3 linked regions of the Macaca fascicularis genome follow. Each later gene encodes a partner of the first gene's protein in a complex. Links are inferred from orthologs where the notes say so. Each region holds a gene or a part of one and is shown in the gene's direction. Other genes may lie near its edges. The genes, in order: POLR2H, GTF2A1 and TAF1A.

Region 1 (3,749 bases):
AGGGGCCCACCCGGGTTCGCAGTTCCCAGTGCCCAGGCAGGAGGGGCTGCAGACGCCTGAACTCCGTAGGGGTTGGGGCTGGGAGCTGCGGAGCTGTCTACATCGGATTCCTCCGGGTCAGCTCGTTAGGAGCCGCCTCCCCTCTGTCCCTCCGAAGGGACGAGCGGCCCAGACAGGCCCAGGAAGGCCCCTCTGCCCCGTCAGGGGTGAAAAGCAAAGCTGGGAGAATTCGGAGGGAATTGGAGCCGTCTTCCTCATCCTTCCTTTTCTCGGGGCTCCCCTGGGGAGGTGCACTTGGAGCAACCCGGCCTACGGGGTGTGCAGGGGTGGAGGTTGGGGAGGGCACCGGAAGGGGTAGGCCGGAGGGAAGGGAGCTCCAGGTGCCGGGAAGTCCACTTCTGGGACGCGGGCGTGGGTCGCTTCTCCCTGGTTGGGCCCAAGGAGGAACCAGAGTCGCTGCTTCCATCTCTCCGCTTTGGGGGAACCGCCTGCTGGTGCTCTGGGTTCTCTATCAGGGGCTGGTGAAGGATAGAACAGATGGCAGAGCGCGCGCAGGGTGGATGGGCAGCATAGAGATAGTGTGAGAGGAGCGAGGGCAGCGCCCAGGAAACGCACAAGTGTGCGGGACAGCCAGCACCAGGAGGAAGGGGCATTTGGGAGGCAGAGGAGGGCCTCAGGGGGCGGGGGCAGTGCCCGGGAAGGGGGAGCCTTGTGATAGAAGCCAGCACCCAGGAGGAAGGGCCAGTGTGAGGGAAGAGCTGGTGTCCAAGGGACAGGGCAGTGCCAGGCTGAAGGGGCACGGAGGGGATCCGTGTCCAGGAGAAGGCAGTGGAGGACTAAGTTGGAGGGGTAATGCCCGGGGGAGGCGGGTGGCGGGAGCCAGGCTGAGGGGGCGGTGACGGGGAAGACAGCAGGGCCTGGGGGAAGCGGGCAGTGGTGGGAGGGTGCAGTACGAGGGGAGGGGACAATACAGGCTTTCCTCTTCTCCATAGCGACATCATGGCAAATTCCCAAACTGGACGGATCCGGCTCGGGTTACATCCAGCAGGGCCGAGCCGGCCCGGGCAGGCCCCGGGGTCCGCGGTGCCGGCTGGAGGGGCTGGGCACCTCTGGGGCGGGGTTCTGCTCCACCTGCCCTCGGCGCGGACTGTGCCCTAGGCGGGCACGCAGACCGGCGGGGTAGGGCTAGGGCCCGGCTTCTCTGGGCCAAGGATCAAGGTCCCTGCCTGGGTTAGGCCCCCACGACTTCCAATCTTCGGGACCCGGCCTCTGAAGAGGGCGCAGCAGAGCCCCAGCTGAGCGCTAGAACCCGCTCTACAGCCGCGGGAGGTTGGACCTATTGTTTCCCCGCCCTGGGCGGGGCCACCTGGACGTGAGACCCGCCCTCAACGCCGAAGCCTCTCGGGAGCAATCTTTTGGGGCGGAAGTTAAGTAGCCCCGAGCGGGAGTCTGTGGCGGAAGTGGGCGCGTTACCACTTGTTTGTGCGCATGCGCCACTCTTGTCTGGCTGCCGCGCATGTAAAAGCTGGTTTTGCTCTTCTCCCCTCTTCTGCACCAGAGCGGGTGCGCGTACTCCCAGCTGTGGTCGCCCGCTCACCCCTTCTGCTGCTCTCGTGGCCCCCTCGCGATGGCGGGCATCCTCTTTGAAGATATTTTCGATGTGAAGGATATTGACCCGGAGGGCAAGAAGTTTGACCGAGGTAAGTAAAGTAGGTAGGGGCGATTTGGAGGAAGAGGCTAACCTCGCGGACATGCCCCTGGACCCCGTGTCCACCCAGCTCTTGTGGCCTGCCCCTACCAGCAGGTCCTGATGTAGGGACCTCCCTCAGGAAACAATTTATGGATGAGAAAAGGGAGACTCCCGAGCTTTCTCTGGCTTCACGCATGCCGTGCCCGGTGCCTAGGTGGCCTTTTGTCATGGTGCTGGCAAACTCCTGGGCATCTTTATAATCGCTACCTGCTCTGTGCTAGACACTGTCTTGTGAGACCAGCCTGGCCAACATGGTGAAACCCCGTCTCTACCAAAAATACAAAAATTACAGGCGGGCGCCTGTAATCCCAGCTACTTGGGAGGCTGAGGCAGGAGAATTGCCTGAACCTGGGAGGCGGAGGTTGCAGTGAGCCAAGATTGCGCCGCTGCACTCCAGCCTGGCAACAGAGCGAGACTCCTCAAGAAAATGAGAGTCCTCATGAGGTGGGTGGTGCCTTCCCCATTATTTTCTGAGAGAGTAATCCACCCAAGGCTTCACAGCGAGTAATCTGACTTCAGAGCCTATATTCTTGTATTGCCCTCATAATCCTTAGCGCTTTAAGTCTTCTCTGAGTTAGAGTTAGCTGCTTGGTATATCCTTTTTTTTTTTTTTTTTGAGACAGAGCCTCGAGCCCAGGCTGGAGTGTAGTGGCACGATCTTGGCTCACCACAACCTCCGTCTCCCGGGTTCAAGCGATTCTCTGCCTCAGCCTCCCAAGTAGCTGGGATTACAGACATGCTCCACCACGCCTGGCTAATTTTGTATTTTTAGTAGAGACGGGGTTTCACCACTTTGGCCAGGCTGGTGTCGAACTCCTGACCTCAAGTGATCCACCTGCCTCGGCCTCCCAAAATGTTGGGATTACAGGCGTGAGCCACTCCACTGGCCTACACCTCTTAATTTTGTCATCTATCAATAATTTTCTTTTTGATGTCTCATTCTTTGCCTGGAGACTCAGATGTTTTCAAGACGGATACCAGTTCTTATACATCTTGATAACTCCCCTCAGCACAGTGCCTGTCATAGAAAGAGGAAACCTTTGGATGATTGAATAACTTGCCCAGAGTCAGGTTCTCAGTCATCCAGGCAGGCCTAGAACCGGGTATTATTTGCTGCTGAAGTATCTTTGGTTGTTTTCTGGGGATTACGTTCACTTGCCACAGTTTTTCTCCCCTTTTCCTTCTTGCATGTCTGGTTCTGATGGAGCCTGCATTTCTATGAGAGCAGATGAGAGACCAGTGGTTGTAGACTGGGTTAGATTGAGTATTCTGTTGCATACAATCCCACACTGTAGGATCTGCCTTGGGCCTGGCAATACCTCTGTCACTCTTTTCCTGCTTCTCCCCAGTGTCTCGACTGCATTGTGAGAGTGAATCTTTCAAGATGGATCTAATCTTAGATGTAAACATTCAAATTTACCCTGTAGACTTGGGTAAGTATTGAACACAGACAATAATAAGAGGCATTTTGCCGCTTCCGCTATTCTTCACTCTCTGATATTGCTGTTATTTTCAGGTGACAAGTTCCGGTTGGTCATAGCTAGTACCTTGTATGAAGATGGTACCCTGGATGATGGTGAATACAACCCCACTGATGATAGGCCTTCCAGGTGAGGTAGTGGAGAAGGTAATACTTGGAATATGCCTTGAGAACTAAGTAGATAAGTGATATAGAAAGACTCTTCTTTAATTCCTGGAATAAATGATGATCAGCAGAATCTGAGTAACCTTAAGGAAATTTCTGCACTTAAGAATTCAAACAGGCCAGACACCGTGGCTCACACCTGTAATCTAAGCACTTTGGGAGGCCGAGCAGGAGGATTGCTTGGGTACAGGAGTTCAAAACCAGCCTGAGCAACATAGCGAAACCTCACTGCTACAAAAATAAGAAAAAAAAAAAAAAAGGCTGCACATGTTGTCATATGCCTGTAGTTCCAGCTACCTGGGAGGCTGAGGTGGGAGGATTGCCTGAGCCCAGGAGGTTGAGGCTGCAGTGAGC
Region 2 (3,749 bases), on another chromosome or scaffold:
ATCCCTTTCTTCAAGTCTTGGCAGGATTCATTTTTTTTCCCTCTCTGGTAAGACGCCTTTGATATTTTTCAAATCCGGTTTCACCAGCACAGAACTTTGACATTTCGTTTTGCTTTGTCTCTGGAAGACAAACTCCCTCACTCATCCAAGCGACATCTCAAGTCCCTCAAAATTCCCAGGGACAAGAAAATTAGGTACTATGAATTCTGCCTTCCAAACAGCATTCTCTGTTCCGCTTGCAATGTCGATATAAAGGCAGGATTTGCTTGGGCAGAATAGGTCAAAAGCTTATTGAATTGCACATGGAACACAGCCTGCTTGCTCTCTTATAGCGAGAGGCCATGAGAGTTGCTGGGTCAAGGGCATGCATTTCAATGTGATCAGTCACTATACGTTGGCCATGCGGAGTCGCAGTATTTTGGCAATATTTTTAAAAACCAGGGAAAGTTACTGTGCTGTTATAATCCAAAGGCTGGTGGGGTTTTCTTCCCCACCGCATCTCCACTAGCGTGATAAATTAAAGTACGTGGGCTAGTAGAGAACTAACCTCTGGGCAACTTAAGCCTAGTCTTCGCAGCGTACCCAGTGTGGAAACAAACGAATCAGAGGTTACTAATTCTGGAATGTTAAAAGTGGGCCCCGATCGGCGTTTACTCCCTTTGGGAAATCCTATACAATTCTGCGCGCGAAAGACCCACCCTTGGTGAGGCGCGAAAGCCGAGAAGCTTATAGTCAAAGCCTCGCTGACAAATCAAGAGATGACTCCGCATTTAAAACCTTCCCGAATAGGAACGCGCCAGAGGCCGGAAGCTACGCCACGTGACCAATCCTCCTCCGCGGCCATTCCTAGTGAGGCAGTAGGCACCGCCTCTGTCACATTTCCTAGCTCCTACAGCGCGGGACCGGGCGGAAACGTGCGACAGGAGGCGGTCCCACCTAGCTTCGGAGTGTCACTAGAACTCGCGTCTTTTCCAGCAATGCTTTGCAAGTACTTCACCGCAAAGAACTGCCGCAGACTTCCGCCTGGGTGCCAACCACGTGATCAGGCGAGCGTTGGAGAGGCGTAGGTCCGACTACACTAGTTCACTCCCCGGGCTCCGCCAGCCCAGCACCCACCACGGCGCGTGACAACGCGGCTCGCGGCGGCCTCCGCCCCGGCGCGCCTGCGCACGCGGCTCTCGCGGTGTCTCGCGCTCAGCCCCGCCCACATCTGCCCCCGCCCTTTCCGCCCCTCCCTCCCCCTTCACCCTGTTTCTCGGCGGCGGCGGCGGCGGTGGCGGCTCGCGCAGCTTGTTGGCTCGCTATATAAAGGAGAGAAGCGGGCGGACCGGACGGCTGGAGCTGCAGCCGGTGGCGGCAGCGGCGGCGCAGGGAGCGGCGACCGGTGGTGGTTTCCCTCCTTGGCGCGGGGTGGGGAGCGGGCAACGCCCCCCGGACCCCTAAAGGGTCGTGGCTTTTTTTTTAAAGGCGATTCTCGAGGTTTTTAGCTGCGGGAGGAGTGCCCCCCTCCTCCTCTCTCCGCTCTCCCTTACTCCTTCAGGATTGATTTTGTTTAAAATTTTTTCCCCAATCTTGTGGTGATTTGGGTCACCCTCCGGGTGTTTTAGTTTTTTTTTTTTTTTTTGGTTTTGTTTTTATCTTGTTTTCTTGGGGTTGCCCCCTCTTGTTTGTGTTGTGTGTGGAAATGGCGAACTCGGCAAATACAAACACCGTGGTAAGGACGTGGTTCGGTGGCCGGCGGGGGCTTCGTTCAGGCGGCAGCAACGGCCGGACCGGGCGGGGGCGGGGACGGCGGCGACTCCCGGCCTCGACTCTTCAGCCGTCCGCGCGGCCGCCGCCGCCGCCGCCGCCGCTTCCCGCCTCGGGCGGATCGGGCCGGAGCGCCGGGCGGCGGGCGCGGGGGGGCGCCGAGGGCTCGCGGCGCGGGGAGGGCGGGGGCGCCGGCGGGGCCTGGGGCAGCCGCGGGCCGGGCCGGGCCGCGGAGGCGGTTGGGCCCGGGCGGGCGTGCAGCCCCGGCCCCAGAACCCGGCCGCCGGGAGGGAGGGCGGGAGGGGAGCCGCCGCTTCCCCGCGAGGGGCCCGTCCGTGCTGTCTTGACGAGGGCTCCCCGAGCGGCTGCAGAACAAAAACCGTGTCTGGGGAATCGGGCGAACCCCCGAGACCCACCGTGATCCACTTTAATGCAGTGGAAGAATAATGATTACTTTGGGGGTTACTTAGGTTTTTTCTGGCTGTTGTGCTTTGGGAACCTTCACTGGGGCCATTTTATGTTTAAAAAAAGGAGGAAGGTTGGTTGAAAAGCACTTATCTCAGTTCCTTCCGAATGGGTAAAATGGCGAAGGGGAAGACCCCCATCGTATCTTCGACTAGCAGAAGCACCAAAACAAACAAAAAAAGCCTGCAGTGGTCCAAGTGTCCCCGCTTTCGCCTTGAAATTTACCTACTTCTTCCCGTTGGTCCCTTTTTGGTTACTTGAGATCACGTAGGTTTGCAAAAAGCAGTCACATAAATAACCTTTTCAGTCACCAACGCAATGTGATCACTAGTCCACCCAACTCTTATTTTTATGATGACAATAAAACACGTTTTTGCCCTGTCCCAAATGCCGCAGACCAGCCCGCGGCCGCCCGACACCGTACCGTTGGCGACTCGGGTCGATCCATCATGGCTGCGGCCGCTTACCCTGCTTTTCAGTCCCTGAGCCTTGTGGTCCTCCTCCCTTTGGCTGCCCTGTTTATATAGAGCCATTGCCGCTCTCTAATATAGACTCTGCCAGGATGGGAAGGTGCTTTTCAGTACTACGTCACCGCCTCTCCATTTAAACACCAGATCCGGCTTTAAATAGTGAGAGCTGCTGAGAGCGGGGCTGGGAGGTGCGTGCTCCCGAGGCGAGAGCCAGGCGCGTGCAGAGCTCAATTTATTTCTAGGTCCTTTTTTCACGCTGTAATTTCTCATCCGTCGGGGGCTGCTTTCAGAGCCCCAAGTTTTGGTTTTGTTCCTAGCAGCAGCCAGGATTTGCCTTCTTTGTTTGCTAGGGGAAATATATCCGAATCGCTGTCCCTTTTTATTTTGTTTACAGTTTTCAAAATTTATAATTTAAAACAAAGAGTTTTAGATAAGATGGTCTAGCCGTTTTTCTTGTGTGCATTATTTTCGGGAATTTAAAAAACTGTTTTCTACACTGAAAGTGTTAGCTGCAGAGGACTCGGTTTTGGTAGTGTTTTGTTTAAGTATTCAAGAAATATGTTAGAAATATAGCTCCCAATATTACATTATGTTTTCCTATAGTAAATATAAAAGACACGAGGCTTTTCAGAGAAATAGATAAGTACCTAAAGCTTCAGTATAGGACCATTTATGTGTATGAGAATCATGAGTAATTACAGGGAAGAGACATGCTGCAAACTGGATTAAAAAAAATTCTAAGTAGAACTTTATTGCCTTGGATATTAACATGGATATCCGGTGTAAAAATTATTCCAGTTTATCTTCCAGCATTGCATCAGGGAATTAACATTTTTGAAGGAAACCTTCTAACAAATCACTTAATGCCACTAGTGGCCCTCTTATTTACCAGTTCTTAAGTTTGAAATAACCTGTTTTTTAAAAATCAGGATAAACCTAAATTGTATTTCGTGATAGAAGCTTTGCCTGAAATATAGCGTAGAATTTTAAGTAATAATTTAGAAATTTCTTGTTTCGAATACTATGTGCCCACATACTTTTCAAAAATTACCTTGAGGGCTTTTC
Region 3 (3,649 bases), on another chromosome or scaffold:
AGGCTCACTGTAGCCTCCACCTCCCTGGCTCAGGTGATTCTGCCACCTCAGCCTCTCGAGTAGCTGGGACTACAGGCACATGCCACCATGCCTGGCTAATTTTTTGTATATTTGGAGAGACGGGCTTTTGCTATGTTGCCCAGGCTGGACTAAACAATACCTTTGAAGTTGCTATTTTTATTTTACTCTGTTAAGATAGCTTTTGGCTCATTTATATTAAAAAATATTAAGGATTGTGTTTAAAACAAAAGCAAGACTGTGCTTTCATTCAGGTTATCAATCACTAATGGTGTTTTTGAAAAGATTTTAAAAAATGCTACAGAAAATAACTGTTGAATACTTATCTCATTTATATTCAAGACAAGATAGATTTAGAGAAATTCTGTTTTTCCTTTTGAAAAATACAGTATTTGGAATTAAGATCTCAATACATGGGTTTAATAGCAGATTGAACATAGCAAAATTGAGGATTAATGAACTGCACAGAAAATACCAGGCTAAACCATGGAGAACAAAAAGGATGAAAGGTGCAGAAACGAGCATACAAGTGAATTGGTGAAAAGATCTGACATATTTGTCATTGGAGTCCGAGGTGGAGTACCTCTGAATAGAACAGGGCAAAAGCAAGCAAACTAATTTTTTAAAAACCCTAACATTTGAAGGGCTCATGACTAAGAAATTTTCAAAACTAATGGAGGATTTCTAGCGTTCTGGTGATGTGCTATTATTTGATCTGGGTGCTGTTTACCTGAGTGTTTAACTTTGTGAAAACTGACTGGATGCCATGATTTGTATACACTTCTGCTACATGTTATATTTCAATTAAAAAAAAAAAGTGAATTGAGCCATAAACAGAATTCTATAAAATCATGAGACAAATGTGGCTTTCATAGGAACCGAATTTCAATAATATTCTCTGATATTGGTGTATTGATCTTGATTGATCTTTTTGAAAATGATTAACAGAAATTAACAAAATTTACTTTTAATTTTGTTGGAAATTATTTCAATGTAAGGTCAAAGTACTTTAGTAAGCAGAATGAATTCATTCTAGAATTAAATGTATTAAAATGAAAAATACAGTATTATTTTAAATTCCATTTTTTGAATATTCATAAAAATAGTTCTTCCTGTTTTTTAAAAGAGAAATTTTTTCATTGTGTGAAAGTTTGTTAAAATATTTACTCATATACCCTTAGTAAACTGTTCCTGAGCACAATCTGTGAAATTAACTCCCAGCCTTTTTAGTTTTTTTGCTTTATATAAATATTCTGTGATCTCTTCTGTTTAGTAAATAAGTATATTTTCTCTGTGGTAATTGATTTTTTTCTTTTTTTCCTTCAGTCCTGGCTTCTGAAATAAATTGCTTTAAGTTGTTGAGCATGGTAAACAATATAGATGTATATAAGGAGCAAATAAAAAGTCCCTGCCTATTTCCCTCGATTCTCCTGACTGTCTTGTTAGCAGGGACTTTAAAAAAAAAAAAAAAAAAAAAAAACCCAGCTTTACAGAGAATACTTTTCTATGCTTAGATTGAAACTAGATAAAAAGCAAGGTAGTTTAAAAATACTTAATAAATTTATGGAGAGCATATTAGATAGTAAAAACTTTATTTTGAAGGTAAGCTGAAATCTGAGAAATGCTTTTACAAGTATGTAAAAATTACAAGACTGTTCTTTCTTTCAGATTTTGTATCAGATTGTACCATCTCATAAATTGATGTTGGAATTCCATACATTACTTAGAAAATCAGGTAATAAATAAATTTTGTTTTTTACCTTTTGTAGACAAGCTATAGACTAGGGACCAGGAAACTATGGCCCATCAGCTAAATCCACCCCTTGCCTGATTTTATAAATCAAGTTCTGTTGATGTCCATCTGTTTATGTATTGCCTGCGGCTACTTTTGCACTATAGTGACAGAACTGTGTAGTTGTGACAGAGACTGTATGCCTTGCAAAGCTTAAAATATTTACTATCTGGGCCGTTATAGAAAAAGTTTGCCTACTCCTGTCATACAAGGTGAAGGCAGTAGTTTGCAAAAGAGAAATGGCTCAATTTTATATAATTCACTCCATTTTAATCCCTACTAGATTTCAGCACACCATAGAAGGAAATAAGTTGGCTAAGCCCAAACTTGTCCTAGGACTGCCTGGGTTCCTCTCTGAGTATAAAATAACATGTATAAAATTCCCAAACAGGGCAGGTACTTTAAGTAATGTTCTCAGTAGAGGAGTGTAACCCACATTGAGATCAGACTCACCACCATTACCTCATTAGCAGGAATTTTTACTGAGTTTTTCAGATTCATTGCAGGAGTAAAAGCATAATGAATTTTTAAAAACTGTTAACCAGAAGGCTTGTGATTCAGTATTTTATCAACAACATATATGTAAAGTATATATACAGTTGATAAAGTATATACATGTATCTTTTAGCTTTGTACATTTCAATACCTTATGTAAACTTGAATTGTTACAACCATTGCAGAAAAAGAAGAACACCATAAACTGGGGTTGGAGGTATTATTTGGAGTCTTAGATTTTGCCGGATGCACTAAGAATATAACTGCTTGGAAATACTTGGCAAAATATCTGAAAAAGACCTTAATGGGGTAAGAAACATACAGTATTTATTACTAGGTCATCATAAATAATATTTCCCAATATTTTAGCTAATATCTGTCAATTTTTAAAGATCTTTACTTATGTTTTTGGATTTTTTTGAACTGTGTCTTTAGCTGTTTTCTGAGTACATTTTCTTCTGAAGCAAAGAAATACAGAGTCATAAGGGGAACATACAAAAATTCTATCAATTTTTTTTATGCCATCAAAATAAATCCTGTGCTTAGCACTGCTGCTTGCTAAGGACTATGTATGTGTTTTCCAGTTGGAAATAAAGACTAGCAGGGATCACTCTTTGCTAATGACTCGTGATTTGTGCGTCATTAACTTGTAAGATCACATGGGAAGCACCTTTCCTCCTACCTGTGTTTGATCATTTTTTCAGTGAGTATTTTTAGGACCTCACAAGATCATCATACACTATTCATTCAACAAGTACTCATTAAATCCATTGTGACCTGGGTATCTAAAAGTGTACCTTTGATTATAATATTATTAGTGTCATATTTTGAGTAAAGGAAAATGAATTTCCTGTTATTTTTACTTAGTGTGTGAGAAGAAGGGATATCACAAAATTGTTTCATATATTTATTATATCCAGTTGAGTTGTTAGGCAATTCAGTATCAGTTGTAACTTGTTTCAGGCTTCAGATCTGACTTGTCTTGATGGGACAGTGCTGTTTATAAAATGGTTTTGGTGTCATATGTTGACACACTCACTGTAAACCATTTTCTAAATCTCAAGCACTGAATAAACTACTAGATTATAAGGTCCTTGAAAGCAAAGAGGCTCATTTTTTTGAACTGCTGTTTGTTCTACCATAGGGGGCACATGGGTGCCAATAAGCATTTGCTCAATTAAATTATAGAGATCTAATGTGCAACACAGACTGTAGTTAATATTGTATTGCGTATAGGAAATTTACTATGAGTAGAGTTCAGGTGTTCCCACCACACAAAAAAGTTTATGTATATAAAACATGTTGTATATCTTAAATATATGCAATGAATAAATTATTCACTGA

What was found.
Region 2: POLR2H (region 1) and GTF2A1 share a complex: the UniProt entries of both Homo sapiens proteins name them as parts of the TBP-based Pol II pre-initiation complex. The link is inferred for Macaca fascicularis from reciprocal best matches to the Homo sapiens genes POLR2H and GTF2A1.
Region 3: POLR2H (region 1) and TAF1A share a complex: the UniProt entries of both Homo sapiens proteins name them as parts of the pol I pre-initiation complex. The link is inferred for Macaca fascicularis from reciprocal best matches to the Homo sapiens genes POLR2H and TAF1A.

The regions. Positions count from the first base shown.
Region 1 is NC_088376.1:96,285,630-96,289,378, forward strand, and holds the start of POLR2H (DNA-directed RNA polymerases I, II, and III subunit RPABC3), read left to right. Parts: upstream 1-1,492; 5' UTR 1,493-1,627; coding exon 1,628-1,700; intron 1,701-3,099; coding exon 3,100-3,183; intron 3,184-3,266; coding exon 3,267-3,360; intron 3,361-3,749. UniProt on the Homo sapiens protein: DNA-dependent RNA polymerase catalyzes the transcription of DNA into RNA using the four ribonucleoside triphosphates as substrates.
Region 2 is NC_088381.1:149,188,863-149,192,611, reverse strand, and holds the start of GTF2A1 (transcription initiation factor IIA subunit 1), read left to right. Parts: upstream 1-1,250; 5' UTR 1,251-1,684; coding exon 1,685-1,714; intron 1,715-3,749. UniProt on the Homo sapiens protein: TFIIA is a component of the transcription machinery of RNA polymerase II and plays an important role in transcriptional activation. TFIIA in a complex with TBP mediates transcriptional activity.
Region 3 is NC_088375.1:80,553,563-80,557,211, reverse strand, and holds part of TAF1A (TATA box-binding protein-associated factor RNA polymerase I subunit A), read left to right. Parts: intron 1-1,686; coding exon 1,687-1,753; intron 1,754-2,490; coding exon 2,491-2,614; intron 2,615-3,649. UniProt on the Homo sapiens protein: Component of the transcription factor SL1/TIF-IB complex, which is involved in the assembly of the PIC (pre-initiation complex) during RNA polymerase I-dependent transcription.